3 linked regions of the Arabidopsis thaliana genome follow. The protein of the gene in region 1 interacts with the protein of each later gene in a pairwise test. Each region holds a gene or a part of one and is shown in the gene's direction. Other genes may lie near its edges.

What was found.
Region 2: the proteins of TPLATE (region 1) and CLC2 interact in binary tests that used the Arabidopsis thaliana proteins (3 or more experiments, as listed by UniProt).
Region 3: the proteins of TPLATE (region 1) and CHC1 interact in a protein complementation assay, tested with the Arabidopsis thaliana proteins (one study listed by BioGRID).

Annotation. Positions count from the first base shown.
Region 1 is NC_003074.8:276,679-285,598, forward strand, and holds TPLATE (ARM repeat superfamily protein), read left to right. Parts: upstream 1-2,203; 5' UTR 2,204-2,492; coding exon 2,493-3,626; intron 3,627-3,730; coding exon 3,731-4,327; intron 4,328-4,495; coding exon 4,496-4,857; intron 4,858-4,945; coding exon 4,946-5,249; intron 5,250-5,351; coding exon 5,352-5,474; intron 5,475-5,631; coding exon 5,632-6,081; intron 6,082-6,160; coding exon 6,161-6,721; 3' UTR 6,722-6,973; downstream 6,974-8,920. Other genes in the region: BET10 (bromodomain and extraterminal domain protein 10), read right to left, coding at 333-416, 503-551, 629-1,708; AT3G01790 (Ribosomal protein L13 family protein), read right to left, coding at 7,202-7,420, 7,851-7,962, 8,077-8,243, 8,445-8,516, 8,858-8,905. UniProt on the Arabidopsis thaliana protein: Functions in vesicle-trafficking events required for site-specific cell wall modifications during pollen germination and for anchoring of the cell plate to the mother wall at the correct cortical position.
Region 2 is NC_003071.7:16,723,548-16,729,648, forward strand, and holds CLC2 (Clathrin light chain protein), read left to right. Parts: upstream 1-2,876; 5' UTR 2,877-3,016; coding exon 3,017-3,303; intron 3,304-3,651; coding exon 3,652-3,805; intron 3,806-4,118; coding exon 4,119-4,454; 3' UTR 4,455-4,660; downstream 4,661-6,101. Other genes in the region: AT2G40050 (Cysteine/Histidine-rich C1 domain family protein), read right to left, coding at 372-2,201; AT2G40070 (flocculation FLO11-like protein), read right to left, coding at 4,831-5,094, 5,174-6,101.
Region 3 is NC_003076.8:4,567,154-4,573,872, reverse strand, and holds CHC1 (SWIB/MDM2 domain superfamily protein), read left to right. Parts: upstream 1-2,878; 5' UTR 2,879-2,999; intron 3,000-3,408; 5' UTR 3,409-3,428; coding exon 3,429-4,960; intron 4,961-5,104; coding exon 5,105-5,177; 3' UTR 5,178-5,393; downstream 5,394-6,719. Other genes in the region: MPL1 (Myzus persicae-induced lipase 1), read left to right, coding at 955-1,095, 1,193-1,303, 1,407-1,550, 1,647-1,687, 1,774-1,853, 1,940-2,035, 2,109-2,431; AT5G14160 (F-box family protein), read right to left, coding at 5,406-6,139, 6,216-6,540. UniProt on the Arabidopsis thaliana protein: Involved in transcriptional activation and repression of select genes by chromatin remodeling (alteration of DNA-nucleosome topology).

The DNA of each region.
Region 1 (8,920 bases):
TTAGAGATAATATGATCACTATAGAAAATAGCAAACAGCGACCTGGGAGTAAAACAAGCAGAAAATGTAACAGGTCTATCACTATCATACTAGGTGTGTAATATGAGTTGCTATCAGTAAGGTCAGTAAGTTTCACTCCAAAAAAACTACAGAAGTAACATTGAGTATTCTAGATGGACGGCCACTTCTGACAAGAGGGAAGTAAAATGGTTCCGAGGGTTAAGTACATATAAGAATTGCAAACATCAAACGTCTGCAAAAGCTCCATAGAGAAAAAGACAAATACAATGTAGCAAGATTAAACAAACCACTGTAGTTCTCTAACGCCATACCTTTTTCTGTTCTGACAGTTGAGATGTGAGATATAGGGTGCTCATAATTACCAATGTCAACATCCTCGTCCTCCAATTCACTCCCTGCAAGTAACGAGGAGGAAATGACAGCTTAATCATAGAGTAGGACATGCGAATTAGCTCAAACAACAAAACCAGTGTATGCTAACCATCACAGTGTTGCGTCAATGAATTTCCTGGCCCTGACCCATGTAAAAGCTACATCAAGAAAGTTTTCGCTGTTTATCAGTCATGTTAACAAATGGATCAAGAATGAGATATAGAAAGGTGATTACCTCTAACACACAGGGTTCACCGTTTGAATCTTTCTTTTGATTTTCTCGCAGAAACTCATCAAAGAGATCCCGCAACTGGAACAAGGCATCATGACTGAGATCATTGATGTCAATCTCTATCTCATCATCTCCAGATCTCTCTTCCTTGGAGCTGTGATCTCTCAGGAAATTTATTATCTGTACAGGGAATTCTGTCAAGGACCCCAAATCTCTGCCAAGCTTTACTCTATCCTCATCTGTCATAACCCGCTTAGCAGGCTCTAAGAGGCTGTTACGTTTCACAGCATTCATCTTTCTCTTCTTAGCCACAGGCTCAGGTATCGCAATATCTTTGTGAGCAAGAGTAGCCAAGTTACTTGGTTCAGATTTGGTTCCGGATGACTTCTTCTCGATAGTTTTCCATCTCACTTCAAAAAACTTGCTGAGAGTATCAGCGAAGCGATACACATTATTATCTGACGGGTTATAAGTCATAGCATTGCGGAAAGTAAGACGGACATCAGCAGAAAACTCTGAAGGGCTTGAATACGTGCCGGAAGTTAACTTGCTTTTAACAGTTCCTAAATCCATAGGATGTTTGATAATGGTGAAATAATCAGGAATGTTGAGCTTGACGACGTCCACAGGGGTATTAAAGAGCCAACAATGCTGCTGCGACATCAATCGTTTAAGGAGGCTCTCACATTGCTTCATCCGAAGCATAGTGGAAGTGGTGACTGGCTCTGGTTTGGTTGCTGTGAAGGGGAGCACCCTTTTTCCAGGGCCAGTAGAGCATCGTGACATTCCAAAACTCTTGGGGCGAGACACATTACTTGCAGGTGTACTAGTAACAATCTTAGATATAGGAAGAAGGTCCCCAACACTCTTCTGAAAGGACCGTAGTTGTTCCAGCTCCTGACGAAGCGTATGAATCCACTTTCTCCTTTCTGATGATGACAAGTCAGACAAGGGTAAAACTATTCTCGGGACACCAAAAGTTTCATCATCCTTGGAAGCATTGGGGCTATCATCACAGCCGCCGGGAGAGTCAAAACTGTTACGATTATAATCTCCTGGGAAACCACCGTTCCTCACAGTCATGATATCGCCCACCGAAGTGCGAACCTGCACAAATCAAAATATTTAAGTCAGTTTTGAGAAACCCTAACTATGAAAACCTGAAAGCAATTCAATTCTTAGAGCCCTATAGTATTGCTGGAGGAGAGCAGTGAACACTCAATATGCATAAAAAAGGAAATTCGGAACTAACCAACTCGAAACACTTAGCAAGCGATCGAACCGGAGCAGAAGTAAGAGAACCGAGGAACAAGCGTAAATCTTCTCCAGCAGAAACAGATTAACGCTAGAGATTGGTGTAGAAGATGATGATGAAGAAGAAGATAGAGTAAAACCCTAGAGTGGAGACGAAGAAGACGACCGAGAAGTAGAGAGAGAACAAAATCGCTCTCTGCCCTCCCTTCTCTAGTGTCCCGTCCCTAACGAATGCTGCGTCTAACGCCGTTTTGCTACTGGGCAGGACTCAATCTGGACCGTCGGATCTGATCCCTCGAATTAAAATCGAATGCAAATACTTCGGTGCATAAAAATAATATCCTGGGCTTATAATGTAAAGCCCAATGAACTTTTTAATGTGCCTTTATTGGGTCTACGGATGACTCAACACGGCACGCTGTGAAAGCTCGAATCGCAGGAACGGCACGCGCTTTTTTCCTTCGAAAACAATTTCTTCTCCTTCTTCTTCAATTGATGGTTTGATTTACACATCCTTCTTCTTCCAGTTCCATGTCGCATACGTACACAGATTGACAGCGAAGCTAGTTAGCTCAGATTTTGGATCTCGAATTTCAGTTAATTCGATCCGGTTATGGACATTCTTTTTGCTCAGATCCAGGCGGACCTCCGTTCAAATGACGCGCTTCGCCAGTCATCGGCGCTTCTTCAGGCGCTGCAGCAATCCGCCGCCGGAAGAGATATCTCTGTGATCGCTAAGTCTGCTGTGGAGGAGATTGTTGCTTCTCCGGCTTCAGCTGTTTGTAAGAAGCTGGCATTCGATCTCATCCGATCTACCCGCCTCACTCCGGATCTTTGGGACACCGTTTGCTCAGGTGTCAAAACGGATCTTCATTTTCCGGACCCGGATGTTACCGCCGCTGCCGTCTCCATCCTTGCGGCTCTCCCTGCCTTCTCGCTTCCTAAACTCATCTCTGATTGCAGCTCTGAGATTGCTTCCTGCTTCGATTCTCCATCTGACAACCTTCGTTTTTCCATCACCGAGACACTTGGCTGCATCCTCGCGCGTGATGATCTCGTTACTTTGTGCGAGAACAATGTGGGTCTCCTCGACAAGGTCTCCAACTGGTGGGCTCGGATCGGCCAGAACATGCTCGACAAATCCGACGCCGTCTCCAAGGTTGCCTTTGAGTCCGTCGGCAGACTCTTCCAGGAGTTCGACTCCAAGCGGATGAGCCGTCTTGCTGGCGATAAGCTCGTTGACAGCGAGAACTCCCTCGCCATCAGGTCCAAGTGGGTCTCTTCCATGGTTGACATTGTATGGAGAAAGAGGAGCGCTTTGATGGCTAGGTCTTTAGTCCTTCCTGTCGAAACCTTCAGAGCCACTGTTTTCCCTCTTGTCTTTGCTGTCAAAGCTGTTGCTTCCGGTAGTGTCGAAGTGATTAGACAGCTTTCCAAGGCTTCCTCTGCTGCTGCTGCAGCTAATGCCACCGTTGTGGACTCCAACGCCGAGAAGCTGGTTGGCGTCTCAGATTTGGTTACCCATTTGGCGCCATTCTTGGCTTCCTCTTTGGATCCAGCTTTGATTTTTGAAGTGGGAATTAACATGCTCTACCTGGCAGATGTTGCCGGAGGCAAGCCAGAGTGGGCTTCACAGTCCATTATTGCAATTTTAACACTCTGGGACCGCCAAGAATTTTCCTCTGCTAGAGAGAGTATAGTCAGGGCCGTTGTTACGAACCTGCACTTGCTTGATCTGCATATGCAGGTATGTCGTTTTTTACTTCATTTAAGCTCGGTTAGTTGTGTACCTTTGTCTTGAAGCTGTGGCCTATGATTTCTGAATCATTCTTTTTGGAATTTGTTACGAAGGTTTCGTTGTTTAGAAGACTGCTGCTTATGGTGAGAAACTTGAGAGCAGAATCGGACAGGATGCACGCATTAGCCTGTATCTGTCGGACAGCTCTCTGTGTTCACCTTTTTGCCAGAGAAAGTGCCCGAAGAGGTCAGAAGCCTCTGCCTGGGACAGATATTATTTCTCTCTTTGAAGATGCAAGGATTAAAGATGATCTCAATAGTGTTACCAGTAAGAGCTTATTTCGGGAAGAGCTGGTGGCAATGCTTGTGGAAAGCTGCTTCCAGTTGTCTCTACCTTTGCCTGAACAAAAAAACTCGGGTATGGAGAGCAGAGTGATTGGTGCGTTAGCATATGGTACTGGTTATGGTGCTCTGAACTGGACAGAACCAGCCCTTGAGGTTGTGGAAGTTTGTAGGCCTTGTGTCAAATGGGATTGTGATGGCAGGACGTACGCTGTAGATTGCTATTTGAAATTGCTTGTTAGGCTGTGCCATATCTATGATACCCGTGGAGGAGTGAAGAGGCTGAAAGATGGTGCTTCCCAGGATCAAATATTAAATGAGACACGATTGCAGAACTTGCAACGTGAGCTTGTTAAGGATCTCCAAGAGGTAATTAAGCCTCAGCTGAAAGTTAGAAGTAACCCTTGGCAATTTTCCTCGAAGAATTTTAGTTAGGCTTTCTTAAGTACTATTTAATACTAAATGTGGAGGAGAACTATTGCTTGTGGACTGAAACGTGGTCAATGTCTTATAAAAATCTTGATCTCAATTTGGCAGGTAAATACCCCAAGAATCCTCGGGCGTCTTATATGGACAATCGCAGAACATATTGATCTAGAAGGTCTAGATCCACTTTTAGCTGATGACCCCGATGATCCATTGAATATTATCATAGCAAACATACATAAGGTTCTCTTCAACTTGGATGCCGCTGCTACTACATCGAATAGGCTACAAGATGTTCAGGCAGTCTTATTATGCGCCCAGAGGATGGGATCGCGTCATGCAAGAGCTGGCCAGTTATTAACCAAAGAGCTTGAAGAGTATAGGAACCATGCTGCTGCAGATACAGTTAGCAAACATCAAACCCGTTTAATATTGCAGAGGATCAAATATGTTTCAAATCTTCCTGAAAGAAAGTGAGCTTTCCCTTGGCTTGTAATCCTTTTATTATGTGAGTTTTACTGCATTTCTGGATTGGAACTCAGACAACCTATTATTTTCCAGGTGGGCTGGAGTTAGTGAGACAAGAGGAGATTACCCGTTTAGCCACCATAAGCTTACTGTTCAGTTTTACGAACCATCAGCTGCTCAAGACAGGAAATTAGAAGGTCTAATTCACAAGGCCATTCTCGAGCTTTGGAGGCCAAAGCCCACTGAATTAACTCTCTTCCTTACAAAAGGGGTCGACTCAACTTCTATCAAGGTTCCTCCCACAGCATATCCTTTGACCGGAAGCAGTGATCCTTGCTATATAGAAGCTTACCATTTAGCAGATACAAATGATGGAAGGGTCACTTTGCACTTGAAGGTTGGTATATATTCTACTGTATCATCCTGCAGTTACTTGAATACAGTTTTAGTGGATAAAGTTTTAGCGTCTCAACACCTTATACTTTATGTTACCTTTCAGATTATTAATTTGACAGAACTTGAACTGAATCGTGTGGATATACGGGTTGGATTATCTGGTGCCCTATACTTCATGGATGGCTCTCCTCAAGCAGTGCGGCAGTTGCGTAATCTTGTCTCACAGGTTGCATGTCATTCTTCAGTGCTTATATACTCCCATCTCTTTACAGTTCTCTAATTTCTTAAGTCTTGTCAGTTGGAAACCGTTTCTGTTCTTACCAATCAATCAGTTTCGTATATGTTAGCTGTATTATCATGGACTCTGTGATTTACTTTTGTAGGATCCTGTACAATGCAGTGTCACCGTTGGTGTGTCCCAATTTGAAAGATGTGGTTTCTGGGTTCAAGTCCTCTACTATCCATTCCGTGGTGCTAGGGGAGAATATGACGGTGACTACATAGAAGAGGATCCACAGATCATGAAGCAGAAGAGAGGTTCAAAAGCAGAACTCGGAGAGCCTGTGATCTTAAGATGTCAGCCTTACAAGATCCCACTGACTGAGCTTCTTCTACCGCACAAAATCTCACCAGTCGAGTTCTTTCGTTTGTGGCCTAGCTTGCCAGCTGTTGCAGAGTACACTGGCACATATATGTATGAAGGAAGCGGCTTCATGGCGACCGCCGCACAACAGTATGGGGCTTCACCATTTTTAAGCGGACTCAAATCATTATCCTCGAAGCCATTCCACAGAGTCTGTTCCCACATTATACGCACAGTTGCTGGCTTTCAGGTGAACTTGGTTCTGTTATTCTTCTTGTTCCTTAACTGGATTGATGGTCTGATAAACCCCTAACTTGATGTCACTACAGCTTTGTTACGCTGCAAAAACGTGGCATGGAGGTTTTGTGGGTATGATGATCTTTGGCGCTAGTGAAGTGAGCAGGAACATGGATCTGGGTGACGAGACTACCACCATGATGTGCAAGTTTGTGGTTAGAGCATCAGAAGCATCAATCACAAAGCAAATAGAGTCGGATATTCAGGGATGGTGTGATGATCTAACTGACGGGGGCGTTGAGTACATGCCAGAGGACGAAGTGAAGGCAACCGCGGCCGAGAAGCTGAAGATCTCTATGGAGAGGATAGCTTTGTTGAAGGCAGCTCAGCCGAAGAAGACTTCAAAGATAGAGGAGGAATCAGAAAACGAAGAAGAAGAAGAAGGAGAAGAAGAAGATGATGATGAAGAAGTAAAAGAGAAAAAGGAGAAAGAAGAGGGAAAGGACAAGGAAGAGAAGAAGAAAAAAGAGAAGGAAAAAGGAACATTTTCTAAGCTGACAGCAGAAGAAACAGAGCACATGGCGCTTCAGGCAGCAGTGCTCCAAGAATGGCACATCTTGTGCAAAGATAGAAAATATACCAAAGTTAACTAAGAGCGAGAGTACTTTTTTCTCAGATGAAGCTACAACAATCTTTGTTTTCTTTTGTTGTGTGTGGTTTCTTCGTAGGTTTAGATGTTTTGTATTGTTGTTGGTGAAGAAAAGAAACAAACCAAGGATGTTACTATTGCCCTTTTTTACGAATTCTTCCGTCTTATTCACAAATTTCACACGTTTATGGAACCAAGGATGCATTTACCCATTTTCCATCAGTAACATTCTGTAGTCATGCAGTGTTTGGCGTGAGATTGCTCTGTTTTTTGCAACGAAGAAAACTGAAAGATAACCAGAAACAGATCCATGTTTAAGGAAGATGGTTTTGGCTTCATTTGTGATACAGTGTTTGAGATCCAGAAACAGGTTTATTGTCTGAGAAACAAGAAAGCCTTAAAAGCTTATCCACGTCTGCATTATGAACTTTGCTTACAAATAAAAAGACAGTCACATCACTAGCTTTCCTCTGAAGTAATTCCTCTACGCAGGTACTTCAGAGAGGGTCCTCTTCTTTCCTTTCTTTACCTCTGTTCCCTCATTTTCTGCCTGCTCTGCCTTCTTCTGCGCACGGATCATTGCTCGCCTTGCGCGCGGTCGCATCTCTCTAACTCTACGAGGCGGCATCACAAATGGCTCAAGTGGCTTGTCCCCAAAAGGATGCTCACCGCCTTCAAATATCCTCAGCTTCCGATCCCTGTCCTATACCCACACAAAGCAACAAAACCTCAGCACATTCTTGTTTTAAGCAACACATCCTAAACTATGCGAGCAATTCATTTAGGAGCTGAGAAGCGAGAATGTATCAGTACAAACAAGCCACTATTCCCACCAAAGATAAAGGACAAATAACAAAATGGTAAAACCAAGAGTTCAGAACAATCTTCCTTCCAAACCTAAATGATTTTCAAAACAAGGGTATATCATCTCATTCGATAAGACCGATTTGTGAGGAGAGACAACCTTTCTAGACATAGGACACCAAGAATCTCATTCCACACAACTCATGATGGATATCAACAAGTAAGAGTAAAGCCAAGGTGTGGGGTAATATCTGTAGCCAGAAAGTCAGGGATCTAAAAGACTGAGGATTCAGGTGATTAGAAAATGTTTCAGTTTATAGTGTACTCACATCACGCAAATTGTTACTTGGAAGCATGCGCCAGACAGCCTTACGAATGACCTCTGTGGGATCTTTGGCCATCTGATCTTTCAGACTCCGTTCCTTCAGGTGTCCGATGTACCTACAAAGAGAGATTAAATAAAGTAGATGAAAATGGGAGATACTAAAAGATATGATAAAACACTTGTAGTAGCTGAAGATTCACAGGAGCATTAAAAGAAAGAGTGCAACTTGCCCAGTATGCCAACGGTAGAATTTGTCAGTGAGCTTTCTTCCTGTGAAGCCGATTTCCTTAGCATTGAGAACAATACAAATATCGCCATCGTCGCGGTTAGGACAATAAGTAGGCTTATCTTTGGCTTGAAGCACGGTTGATATCTGGGAAGCTAGTCTACCAAGAACCTAGAGTAGACAAGTTATATTCACAAATGAAATCCTAGCAATTCAATTCAGATTTAATACAAAGACACAACAAAGATAAGGCATCCTATCTAAAATCTGGAAATGTTTGCCACTGTAGTCATGTAACTAACCAAGCATAAGAAGAAGAAAGTGGTAGAAGAAAGAGAGAGTAGATTGGAAGAGAGGTAGAAGAAAGAAAACCTGGCCTCTGGCATCAAAAACACGCCAACGAAGACCGTCGAGATTGATACGCTTTATACCTGCCACAGCTTTCTGCACAAAGACATACTCAAGATCAGCAACAAAACATAATACAAAGAGTAGATTGGAAGTTTTTTTTTAATAATAGAAAGGGGTCCATTTTCGAATAAGTTTGTAGCATCTACTCAATTTCTAAATTGCATAGCATAGGTGTGACACTCTCTGACCGTAATGGAGAATAGATGCAATGGGAAGTGATCATTGTTCCAAATGATTTTAAGTAGAAAATGCATAACACGTAGAAGAAGACCTAAACGTGGGAATCGCTCACTGGTTGATAGTAATCTAAGGTGATTTGGCTAAAACTGATCAAAAAGCTGGAGATATGGAAGGAAGAAGTAATCATTTTATACCTTTAAGTTGCCCTTGAATGAGGCAGCAGCAGCAGCCTGAGTCGCCATCGTTCTTCAGCTGTT
Region 2 (6,101 bases), on another chromosome or scaffold:
AAATGCAGTTCTCTAGTTTCAGATCGTTTGTCCTAAAATCAGGTTTAGGGTTTCAGTGACCGGTTTAGTTATAAAGTCTAGCGGCATTGTAGTGATGTTTTGACATTGACTATTTATCGAGCAATGCATTTGCCATCTCATTTGCTTCTTGTTTGAAACCTTCGAGAGACGAAAATGATTGCCTTTCTAATCGCATAAGCACATGGTTAGAAATTATATCTTGTGTTGACCGATGCAGCTCCTCCGGCAGAAAATCATCTAATTCAAAGAGCTCTTGTGTAATTGCACGAATTGAGAAATCAGTTTAGTTTTATGAAATTGAAATCAATAATAGAGAAATTACATTTTATTCAGATGCATGGATACATTGTTTAAATACATTCATATGAACATTCAACACGGTAGCCTACATCATATATTTTCCCTATACAACGGTTCTTGCAAGAACCACATAATGGTCGAGAAATATTACATTTGGGAAGAACTTGAACCCTGCATACCCATTTATTGAAATATTGACCGGGCTTGATATATGGGTCTCCACCAATTAAGCATTCAATATGAAAAGTGGTGCAACACTCGTTGCACCAGTAGAATACTTTTGTGCATGTATCCTTTAAACTACGTTCACATATTTCACACCATTCTTGCTCACGTACTTCTTCACCAAATGAAATTGTGAGGAAGTGTGTGTCATGCTTATATTTTATTTTGTATGGTAAGGTAACACACTTAAAACATACAATGAAATTGCATTTGATGCAATTTAATTGTTTTAAACATTCTGTTTTGCATATATGACATATGGGTTTTATTTCTGGGTTTAAAGCTAGGAACAAGGGATCTTCATGACCTTTGTAATCAAACGGCTCAGAAATTAAAGCGCACCTTACATCAAGCTTGAAAAAGTTGCATACCTCCATCCTACAGTGATAGGCAAAGCCAATAGAACCACGATCACAAGCGTTGCAACGGAAGGTATTGTAAGTAAAGCTATTGATAACCTCCAATACAAGTGGGTGAGGATGTAAGGCATGTTGGATTCTACGGGGAGCCTTAGCACATGTTTCATGGAGGATGAAATCACACTCCATACAAACATATAAGTTACCTTCATAGATAGGAATGGCACACGCTTGACAAAGCATGTTTTCATCATAAACGTTGCTGACCTCGAGTCGGAGATGATGATTATGATGAAAATAAAGTATCACTCCTTCAGATATCACCTCGAACGGTCCATCATTTTCTGTTATATCGATTATCTCTGGTATACCTTCGAGTTCTTTTCCATCCCACACATCTTTCCCAAGAGCGCATATTGAATGAACAACATAATCGCTACACGTGTCACAAGTATATGCACCATAATCAACGTTAATACTTAAACGGCAAACTCCACAAAACCATTCTCTAGATGTAAGAGAAAAAGTGAACGAGATACGATGACGGTGACGTGATATCTTGATGATGTGTGGGGAATTCATACAGTCATTATGAGTTACAAAGTTACATCTGAAACAAACGTAGGTGGGATAAATTTTTCTCAACAAACCACAAACATTACAAGTCAAGGAAGTTTGTCTGGGGAAAAAAGTGAGAGGATGGATATGCTTTTTTGGTGGGTCTATAAGAAAAGGTATTGGCTTCATCGCACATATGGGATGCATAAAAGCCTGGCATGTGGTGCAATGATAAATCAACCAATGTGCTTTTCTTCCACAACATAAACACTCAATCTTACGAAAGTTATCATCATGAAAGAAAAGTTGGAGATAGTGCTCAGGGTGGTAAGGATGTTTGATTATAAGTGGAGATTGAATGCATTCTTTGTGTAATTTTATGCTACAATAGTTGCAGAAATAATAGTCGGTGCCGGAATTTGAGCCTTCGCATATGTAGCATCCACCATCAGCATCAAATTCTTTATTGTTGCACCAAAACAAAGGGAGTACATGATGATCATGAGAGGTCGTCGTTGTAGAAAGGACGTACTCGGGGGAAGAATTAAGCGGATAAGTGTCTGAATACGACTTGATTTTTCGACGTCGTGATCGAGGGCATAAGAAAAGAGGTTGAAGGTCACTGGAGGAGGTTACGGTCTGTGTTTGGGGTATGGGGCAATATTTCGGATGATGGTATACCAAAACAAGGTTACCATCCTTTTCCACCTCATAAAATCCTCCGACGCTAGAATCCATGAATGTGTTAAGTCTTTGTTTATTTTTGTTTTAGGCTTTTATAAAAAAATATTTGTCATACAAGATATCAAGTTGTTAACATTTTTCCTCTATAAATACGAAAATTTGATTCCAAAAGTTTTCTTCTACTCTTGATTATTAATATACTTAAACGTGAAAACATATGGTTGATTTTGTTCCTTTTCTCAGTAGTTGTGATGATAATGTTCTTCTTTACATGCAAATAAAGAATCAACTTTTCTTTGCACATAGTTTTGTTCATTTCTGATGTTCCATGACTTCAAGACTCTATATTAATCGTGCTCAATGATTGTGCCAATTCATTAGTAGTGTATAATTTGAGACTTTGTGAACTCAATCACGAAACACACAAAAAGAAAATGAAGGTTTATTCAAAAAAAAAAAAAAAATGAAGGTTTGAAATGGAAAATGAAACAATCGTACCAAAACCAAATTGCAAAACGTTTTAAACAAGAAAAGAAGAACACGTAGTTTCAATGATCCGGTTGAATTAGAAAGTAGAACAACCGAACCCACACTAAATTGCAAAACGTTTTGATTAAGATAAGAAGAACACGTATGGAACATTAATTGTAATCTAATGGATCGGTTGGAACCTAAACCATAACTAAACCGGAATACTCATGATGAATTGGAAGTATTTGGGCTCGAAAAAAGCCCATTAAGAAAAATGGAAATAAAAATAGTCACAAATCTCCGTTATTAATTTTTGCCATAAGCTTGAGAACACTTGAAAAGACAAGATTCGCGAGTTCTTCGTTCTGCCTTTTTTTTTTTTTTTGTGTGTTCGAGAGATGTCTGCCTTTGAAGACGATTCCTTCGTCATACTCAACGATGATGCGTCTGAGTCTGTTCCAGTCTCAGGCTCTTTTGACGCCACTGATTCTTTCTCAGCTTTCGACGGCTCACTCCAAGTCGAGGACTCCGTCGACGATGTTTTTGCAGCGCCGTCTTCTGACTACGGTGCTTACTCCAACGGTGACGGCATCTTCGGATCCAACGGGGATCACGACGGTCCTATCTTGCCACCACCGTCGGAGATGGAATCAGATGAGGGATTTGCTCTTAGAGAATGGAGAAGGTTAGATCTACTCAAAGTTTTGATCTTTGTTGCTTTTTGTTTACTTCTTCCTGAAGAAAATCGATAAAGTGGATAAATTTAGTTGAGAATCTCTTTGATAATCTGAGAATTTCAATTTTGAATTTTGATTCACAATTTTTGTGAATTGAAGTTATCTGCTAGTTAGTGTCCATTGTTCTCAGAAGTAATCAGTTTATTAGATTGGATCTGTTACTTTTGCTTAGAGTTTATTGCTCAAATCGTGTGTTCTAGAATAACATCTTGATCCGTAAGCTTGTAATGCTTGTTGAGTTGATTAAGATGTATAGATCTGATTTCGTGCTATGGCTTTATTATGTTTATGTGTAGACAAAATGCAATTCAACTTGAGGAGAAGGAGAAGAGAGAAAAGGAATTGTTGAAGCAAATTATTGAGGAAGCTGATCAATACAAAGAAGAGTTTCATAAGAAGATTGAAGTAACTTGTGAAAACAACAAAGCAGCTAACAGAGAGAAGGAAAAGGTTTGTTCTTTTGCTAAAAGATTTGAATTTTTTATCATCTTTTCTCAATCTGTGTTGTTGTCATGTGGTTTGTGGAGAATTGTCAATGCAAGTCAATGGCTTGTTGATATTAAAATTTTCAAACTTTGACCATCTTAGTCTTAAGTCAACTGTGATTGATTATCTTAATGCATTGTCAGTTTTGAGATTATCTTAATACATTGATTATCTTCATTACGTGTGTGATCTTTGATACCTTTTTATCTGCATATTGCATTGTTACAGTGTTGATTAAACTTTCACTTATGTGTTTATTTGTCTTTGAACACTTAAGCTGTATCTGGAGAACCAAGAGAAGTTCTACGCGGAATCCAGCAAGAATTACTGGAAGGCAATAGCAGAGCTAGTTCCTAAAGAAGTTCCAACAATAGAGAAAAGGAGAGGAAAAAAAGAGCAACAAGATCCTAAGAAGCCAACAGTCTCTGTGATTCAAGGTCCAAAGCCCGGTAAGCCAACCGATCTAACAAGAATGAGACAAATATTGGTGAAGCTCAAACACAACCCACCTTCTCACCTGAAACTCACTTCTCAACCTCCATCGGAGGAGGCGGCTGCTCCTCCAAAGAATGTTCCCGAAACCAAGCCCACTGAGGCAGTTACTGCTGCTTAAAAACCTCCTTTGTTTTCTTATTCGTTGCTTACATCTGTGTGAATTCAGTCTTTGCATTTCATTATGTGTTATAAACAGCTGAGAGATTTTATGGTTCATGTGTGTTATTAACATAATTATGTCATATTGGAATGATAACTTTTTATGTTTTAGTCAGTTACCATTGAATAGTGGTTAATATCTCAAATCAATCGGTTAAAGGATCCATCCATTTTAGGGTTAAAGTAGAGACGAGAGTGGAGAGGTTTACATAAAACATCAAAACGCTACTTCACATATCATCATTATCAAACTCGTGTGATAATTAAAACTCACAAACAATAAAAGAGAATCTCAAATGTGAACGTTTTACAAAAGGCTTTTCTTCTTTCTTCCTTCATCTCCCTTGTAAGCTTGCAGGGGACCTGCAACCTCTCTCGCTGCCTGCGTCGTCTTCCTTTTCACTTGCCTCTAAGCAAATGCCATTGTTGTTGCAGACACTGATCTCTGAGCTTGCGTTGCTGCTTGTTGCTAGTGGAGAAGAGTCTGAAACATTCATCGGTCTACCACGTGTATGTCCAGACCTCACACTGTACATTGATGATGCTGGAATATTCGTCATTAGTGGTCTCAGGTTCCCTGGAATAGTTCTACGTATATCCTGTTTTCATCAAAACGTTTGATCATCAGTTAAACGCAATTGCCACCACTTGAGGAAGAGAGAAGAGAGAGATACATACCATATGCCTTATTGCCATATCAAGGGACTTCTTGGAGAGCGTTCTTCCAAATCCTGCACTGTCGGGTGATGAAGACTTTGCAGACAAGTTACCATGAGGAGAACCCTTGTCATCTGATCTGGGTGGAGCAAGTTTCCGCATGTTTATTACTCTCTCCACCATTTTTGTTCCCATCATCACCGGACTAACATTGTCACTGGCTTTGGAATATCCACGATTAACCGCAGGAACAGAGCTACCACTAGAGTACATTGGTGCTCTTCCTCTTGATGGTGAACATGATTGCCTTCTTGGTCTTCCTCCTGGAGGGCCCCCTGGCTCAACTGAACCAGAACGAGAGCTTGGAGCTCCAGGTCTGCCTCTTGTCGCTGAAAGTGGCCTTTCGGGTAATGTTGTCCTTAGATTTGGAGGAGTTTCTAATGAGAAACCAGGCATGTCTGACGGCTTCCATGGTCTTGACCTCACTGTAGGAGATGCTGCACGAGATAAAGCAGGGTTCTTAGATGGTGTTGGCATAGGCTTTGCTGGCGCTGGAGAAGAAGGCTTGATTTGGGATATTGTGGGATTTGCTGTAGTAGTTGCAGCACTTGCAGAAGCAATTGGACGGCGAGTTGGTGTAGATGACCTTGATATGGTTTTAGATGGAGGAAGTGTGGGTCTTGAAGTTGGTGTTGAAGATCTGGCAGTAGATCTTGACAGAGGTGTGGTGGACCTTGAAGGACCTGCAGATTTTGTGGTGGTGCTAGGGGTAGATCTAGTTACTGAACCAGCAGATCTAGCAGTTGAGGTAGTCGGCTTAGATGCAGTAGGTGTGAGCCTAGATGATGATAAACTTGTTGACCTACTCATAGGCGTGGGCTTAGTCGTTGCAGATACTGTGGACCTCGAGTTAGTCAAAGAAGGTCGAGTAGCTGAGGAGACAGTGGCT
Region 3 (6,719 bases), on another chromosome or scaffold:
ACATGCATGAAATACATCCAAACTACAAAGTCTATTATTAAAAACATATATAGCTGTAATTAAACCACTGCATCGCACTCGGAATATCTGATTACTACATTGAAGCTGTTTTCCATTACATAAATTTTTGAAAGTAAGAAAAAGTGGAAAGTGACGTCAAGGGATAGTGAGAAAAACATTATTAGGAGAACATTTTATACCCGTTTTCAGAAGTTATACAAATGGAGAATATGTGCATATATTATTTCAAGATGATTTACATCTATAAATAGACATATACACGTGGGCCAAAACCAAACGTGTATACTTCCAGTGGATGCCTCATCAACAAGTATGTACATACATATATATATATATATATATATATATATATATATATATATATGTACATTTATCCTTATATCGTATGTGCGTGCGAGTTTGAAACTTACAAGTAAGATTAATTAGATTAATGTCTGTATCTTTTTTTGATAAAGAATGTGCATATGTGTTATCTTAGTGGTGGTAAAATTAAAACATTAAATAAAGAGACAGCATGAGTGTTAAACATGTGTGTCCAACAAATAAAGTGATAATTGGAGCGTTACTAGAAAGGTAATTAAAATAAACTCAAGTGATAAACAACTTTTCTGGTATGGAAGAATGATTGTACCGTACGTAAGTGATATTATATAAATAACCGTGTCGACTCTCGACTCTGGTACTCATCGAATTCTTAAAAATCATCGATAAAGTGCATAAGTACAAAACTTGATGAGATCAGTACTACTATTTTCATCAGCCTGCTAGAAAGAAAATACTTTATGACTTGCCTTATGTTTTAAGTTTTATGTGGACAGAGACGACAGTCGTACGTATGCAGAATTGTAATTTGTCTCTTTGACAACATGGTCCTTTAATTTCTTATAGTTTACATTACTATGATAGTCAAATAATCATGAGTTAAATGTGCAGGATGGGATGTCATGGCTGTTGAATCCAGCGGATCAAAATCTGCCGTTGATTTTGGCGGATCAAGGATTCGATGTGTGGATGGGGAACACAAGAGGGACTAGATTCAGCAGAAGACACAAGTACCTTAACCCTTCTCAACGGGTCTGGTTCAGTGAACCACTGTTTTAACCAGTAGATTACGTATATATCTTTACTAAGGAAACTGATATTTAACATCGTTGGCACGTTGTGGACTTAGGCTTTCTGGAACTGGACGTGGGACGAGCTTGTGAGTTACGATCTGCCTGCTATGTTTGACCATATCCATGGCCTAACAGGCCAAAAGATTCACTACCTCGGACACTCTTTGGTGGGTCCAACGTTATCAACATATTTTTTCTCTGATTTTTTTCTTTTTCTTATAGTAATATATCTTCTCATAATAGAATGAAAAATGAAATGGAAATTGTCAGGGGACGTTAATAGGATTTGCTTCGTTCTCAGAAAAAGGGTTGGTGGATCAAGTGAGATCGGCGGCGATGTTGAGTCCCGTTGCTTATCTCAGCCACATGACCACCGTCATCGGCGATATCGCCGCAAAAACCTTCCTCGCCGAGGTCCCTAGCTTCTCCCTTGTAATACCCTTTTTTATTCTTATACAAATATGTGCCTACAGTTATGAAAATAACTTGTTTATCGTCTTTCAAAAATAGGCCACCTCTATTCTTGGATGGCCAGAGTTTAACCCGAAAAGGTAAATCTTCACCCTTTTTTCTTAAAATATGCTTGTTATTATTGGCTTGATTTGATTACGTAAAATAGTTAAAACAACATTTGCAGTGGATTAGTAGGGGATTTTATAAAGGCTATATGCCTTAAAGCGGGGATCGACTGTTATGATTTAGTCTCTGTTATCACTGGTAACGCTACAACTAAAAAAGTCCACCAATCTACCATTGATGAATTAATTACATATATTAATTAACGTAATTTTACAAAAACATAGGAAAGAATTGCTGCCTTAACGCATCAACCATTGATCTGTTCCTTGCCAACGAACCTCAATCTACTTCCACCAAGAACATGATCCACCTTGCTCAAAGTAAGTGAAACAAATTCCCATTTTTTAAAAATTATTTTATAAACCTTAAATTGTTCAAATTATTTATTTGTAGCGGTAAGAGACAAGGAGTTGAGAAAATACAACTATGGAAGCAGTGATCGCAACATAAAACATTACGGTCAAGCGATACCACCGGCATACAACATATCGGCGATCCCACACGAGCTTCCGCTTTTTTTCAGCTACGGTGGTTTAGATAGCCTGGCTGATGTGAAAGACGTTGAGTTTCTCCTTGACCAGTTTAAGTATCACGACATCGATAAGATGAATGTGCAGTTTGTGAAAGACTATGCTCATGCTGATTTCATCATGGGTGTTACTGCCAAAGACGTTGTTTATAACCAAGTTGCTACCTTTTTCAAACGACAAGCTTGATAATATTATTACCTTGTCATTAGTTTATGTAATTGCATGTGCCCATATTCTTCAATTGTTTCCCTCTAAACAAAATGGGCAAAAATAAAATTAAAATTTTTATGAAAAAGTATACCAGTCTACTAGCTTCTAATTAAAATAATCCCAATATTTAATTTAGATTTTTTTTTTCTTTAATCTATAAACAATGGGGCAACCATTATCTAATTTACCCTAGTTTTAGGTATATTTAAGAAAGAACACTAAAACTACAGATTCGTATTTGACAAAAAAAAAAAAAGGAAACGAAAAACTATAGTAAAACAAAATTATGTGGAATGCTTTTCTTTTTAATTTTGTCGTCAAATTGTATGTGGATTTGTCGTTGAAAAAAAAACACATGGATTAAAGTTGGGCCAGTTTGATATAACTCAATGTGGGCTTTAAAAATACGGGTCGGGTCTTAACCCGGACAGTAAAATAGATAGCTCCGGTGGGCATTTGTTTTTGTTTTCTCTCTCGAGTCTCGACAACTGAGAAGCAACGGAACACCGGTGAATCCCGGAAAGAAGGTGAATCAAAAAAGCAGGTACCAAGCTGCGAATCTTCGTTTTTTTAAGGAATTCTCGATCTTTATGGTGTATAGGCTCTGGGTTTTCTGTTTTTTGTATCTCTTAGGATTTTGTAAATTCCAGATCTTTCTATGGCCACTTAGTAGTATATTTCAAAAATTCTCCAATCGAGTTCTTCATTCGCATTTTCAGTCATTTTCTCTTCGACGTTGTTTTTAAGCCTGGGTATTACTCCTATTTAGTTGAACTCTGCAGCAATCTTAGAAAATTAGGGTTTTGAGGTTTCGATTTCTCTAGGTAACCGATCTATTGCATTCATCTGAATTTCTGCATATATGTCTTAGATTTCTGATAAGCTTACGATACGTTAGGTGTAATTGAAGTTTATTTTTCAAGAGTGTTATTTTTTGTTTCTGAATTTTTCAGGCTGATAGGTTTATATAGCAATGTCTGGTAACAACAACAATCCACAAAAGCCTCAAGGCTCTGCGCCTTTGCCTTTTGGGAATCCTGGGATGGCCTCTGCATCTGTTCCTGGAAACCAAGGTTTTGCTCAGTCTCATATGGCAGCTAACTTTCAAGCTCAGTTTCAGTTCTCTCAAGCTCAGGCCCTAGCCCATGCTCAAGCACAGTCTAAAGTTCAAGCACAACTGCAAGCTCAGTTACAAGCTCAAGGCATGACGATGAACCAAGCACAAGGTTCTCCGGGGATTGGTGGCTTGGGTCCTTCTTCTCCTTCTTTGACGACTCCTGGAAGTTTAAACATGAAGAGATTCCAGCAGAAACCGCCGATGCGACCTCCTGGTGCTCCTGCGAGTAACAACACTATCTCCCCAATGAGAACAATGGAGTTAACTCCTGCTGCTCGGAAAAAGAAACAAAAGCTTCCAGAAAAGTCATTGCAGGAGCGGGTGGCTGCAATCTTGCCAGAGTCTGCCTTATACACACAACTTCTGGAGTTTGAGTCTCGGGTTGATGCTGCGTTAACTAGAAAGAAAGTTGACATCCAGGAAGCCCTTAAAAACCCTCCCTGCATACAGAAGACTCTTAGGATCTACGTTTTCAACTCGTTTGCTAACCAAAACAACACGATCCCTGGGAATCCTAATGCTGACCCGCCAACATGGACTCTTAAAATTATTGGTAGGATACTGGAAGATGGGGTGGATCCCGACCAGCCAGGGTTTGTTCAGAAAGCAAACCCATTGCATCCCAAATTCTCGTCTTTCTTCAAAAGGGTTACAGTTTCCCTGGATCAGAGGCTGTATCCTGAGAACCCATTGATCATATGGGAGAATGCTCGATCACCTGCTCCTCAGGAAGGCTTTGAGATAAAGAGGAAAGGGAATCAGGAGTTTGCTGCTAGTATACGGTTGGAGATGAACTACGTCCCTGAAAAGTTCAAGCTTTCTACTGCATTGATGGATGTTCTCGGGATTGAGGTTGAAACCCGCCCAAGAATCATCGCTGCAATTTGGCATTACGTTAAGGCGAGGAAACTGCAGAACCCAAATGACCCCTCTTTCTTCAACTGTGATGCTGCACTTCAGAAAGTTTTTGGAGAAGAAAAGTTGAAATTCACTATGGTCTCTCAGAAAATATCTCATCACTTGTCGCCTCCACCACCTATTCACTTAGAACACAAAATCAAGCTCTCAGGAAATAATCCGGCCGTATCAGCATGTTACGATGTGCTAGTGGATGTACCCTTCCCGATCCAAAGAGATCTGAACAATTTGCTAGCCAACGCAGAGAAGAACAAAGAGATTGAGGCTTGTGATGAAGCAATATGTGCAGCCATAAGGAAAATCCATGAGCATAGGAGGAGGCGGGCATTTTTCTTGGGGTTCAGCCAATCGCCAGTTGAATTCATAAACGCCCTGATCGAATCTCAGAGCAAGGATCTAAAGGTCGTTGCGGGAGAAGCCAGTCGAAATGCTGAGAGAGAACGTCGATCAGACTTCTTCAACCAACCTTGGTAAGCTAATCATCTAGACTCTGCTACTCTGGCCTTTATTCGCACAGATGATATGTATTAAGAGTTGTAAAATGTTTTTTTTTTTTTTTGGTCAAAGAGTTGTAAAATGTTTCTGAATCATAATTTGGGGTAAAATGTTTGCAGGGTCGAAGATGCAGTTATACGTTACTTGAACCGGAGGCCAGCAGCTGGGAACGATGGGCCAGGGAGTTGGTGAGTTTCTTGACGATACAAGTCTCTTCATCTGTTTGAGCATTTTTAGTAGAAGATATTGTTGAGATTAGTCTGGTTTAAAAGTGAACTAGTGTATCTGTAATCTTGTGTATGTTGAAACATTACTACTTTATATAATTAGCTTTGTTTTGTAGCCTTTGCGTTAATGGTTAAGTCATGTTTTTATTAGCAAAAGGAAAATAACATTGGCATTATTAAAAAAAAAAAACACTTAAAGTTGAACAAAAACGAAAATGTTTGGAAAGAGTATCATTGTGAAGTAAGAAGTGGGGAAGAGCCAGCGAGCATTAGAGAATGGTCTGGAGGAGATAGAAGAAGACGAAAGGCGTTGAACCTTCTGGGAGGAGAGATTGAAGACGAAGACATCCTTTTGGCTAGATGGAAGACCGCTGAAATAGGTGGAGTTTCTGGTAATACCTTGGATATCGGAGGATGCTTGCACGGTGATACCTAGATCCAAGATCACGGCCTGGTCGCCACGAAAAAGCCAGGAAAGGTCACGACGTTTAAGAACGCAGCCAACCATCAAAAAATCTCCAGAGATGGTGATTACTATGTTGGTCTTCCAGTCAAGATAGTCTGTCCAAATTGTATCATAAGGGCTAAAAGATCCCAAGCGGAAGCGAAAGGGATAGAGCTGAACATGAGCAGTTTTTGTTACAAACTTCAAATCCGAGATTCCGATGCTACCATCCTCATAGTAAATGTAAAGTTTGTGGTCCTTGAGGGCAATATCACTACACCCCAACAAAGGAGGAATCTGGCGCCATTCACAATCGCCTTTCTTGCAAAAGGCTGCATGCTTGTCTCCACCCCAGCTGCAAGCAACTACGTAGTCTTTAGTTTTCTCGTCTATCCACACAACTGCCTTATCAGTACTAGGGTATCCCATCATCTCGGCTTTGCTTGCAAAATGACCTTTTCTGTAGAGTACGCTGAAAAGAGCTGGTCACGTTGAGACTCGATAGCTACTAGGTTAATCCTCTCCAAATTTAGCACATTCACAAGATATAGATTTAACCGAGGAGCCAGGTGCCGCAACTTGCAAGGCAAGGATCCACACCAAGGTCTTGAATTGTGTAAACGTTTTCTTCTTCCTGTGGATTGTACAACATGCAACTGCGTCTGATTTGTGCTGGATCAGGGAAAAGAATTAGCCACGGAACCTGATTAGGTTTGGAGACACAGTCTCCCCAAACCCTACACCAAGTGGAACAAACCGCCCTAGCTCGATGAAAATCCGAGAGTCTCAGCCGTCGCAGAACCAATCTGATCACATCCTCAGGAAGCTCCGACCAATCCACCCCCCTAGAATTGAGAGCTTGACGTTTGTGAATCAAAGCCATATCTAAAAGTCGTCACAAACTGCACTCTTTTTACTTTTCTAAAGCCAGTTATGACGAGGCAATCTAAACCAAATCAAATTCCAAATTCAATCAGGATTTGCTTTTGATACGTAGTAATCATATACAGTATATATGTTCGAGAAAAAAACATAATAATTTATGGCAAAAATATTTTGGTA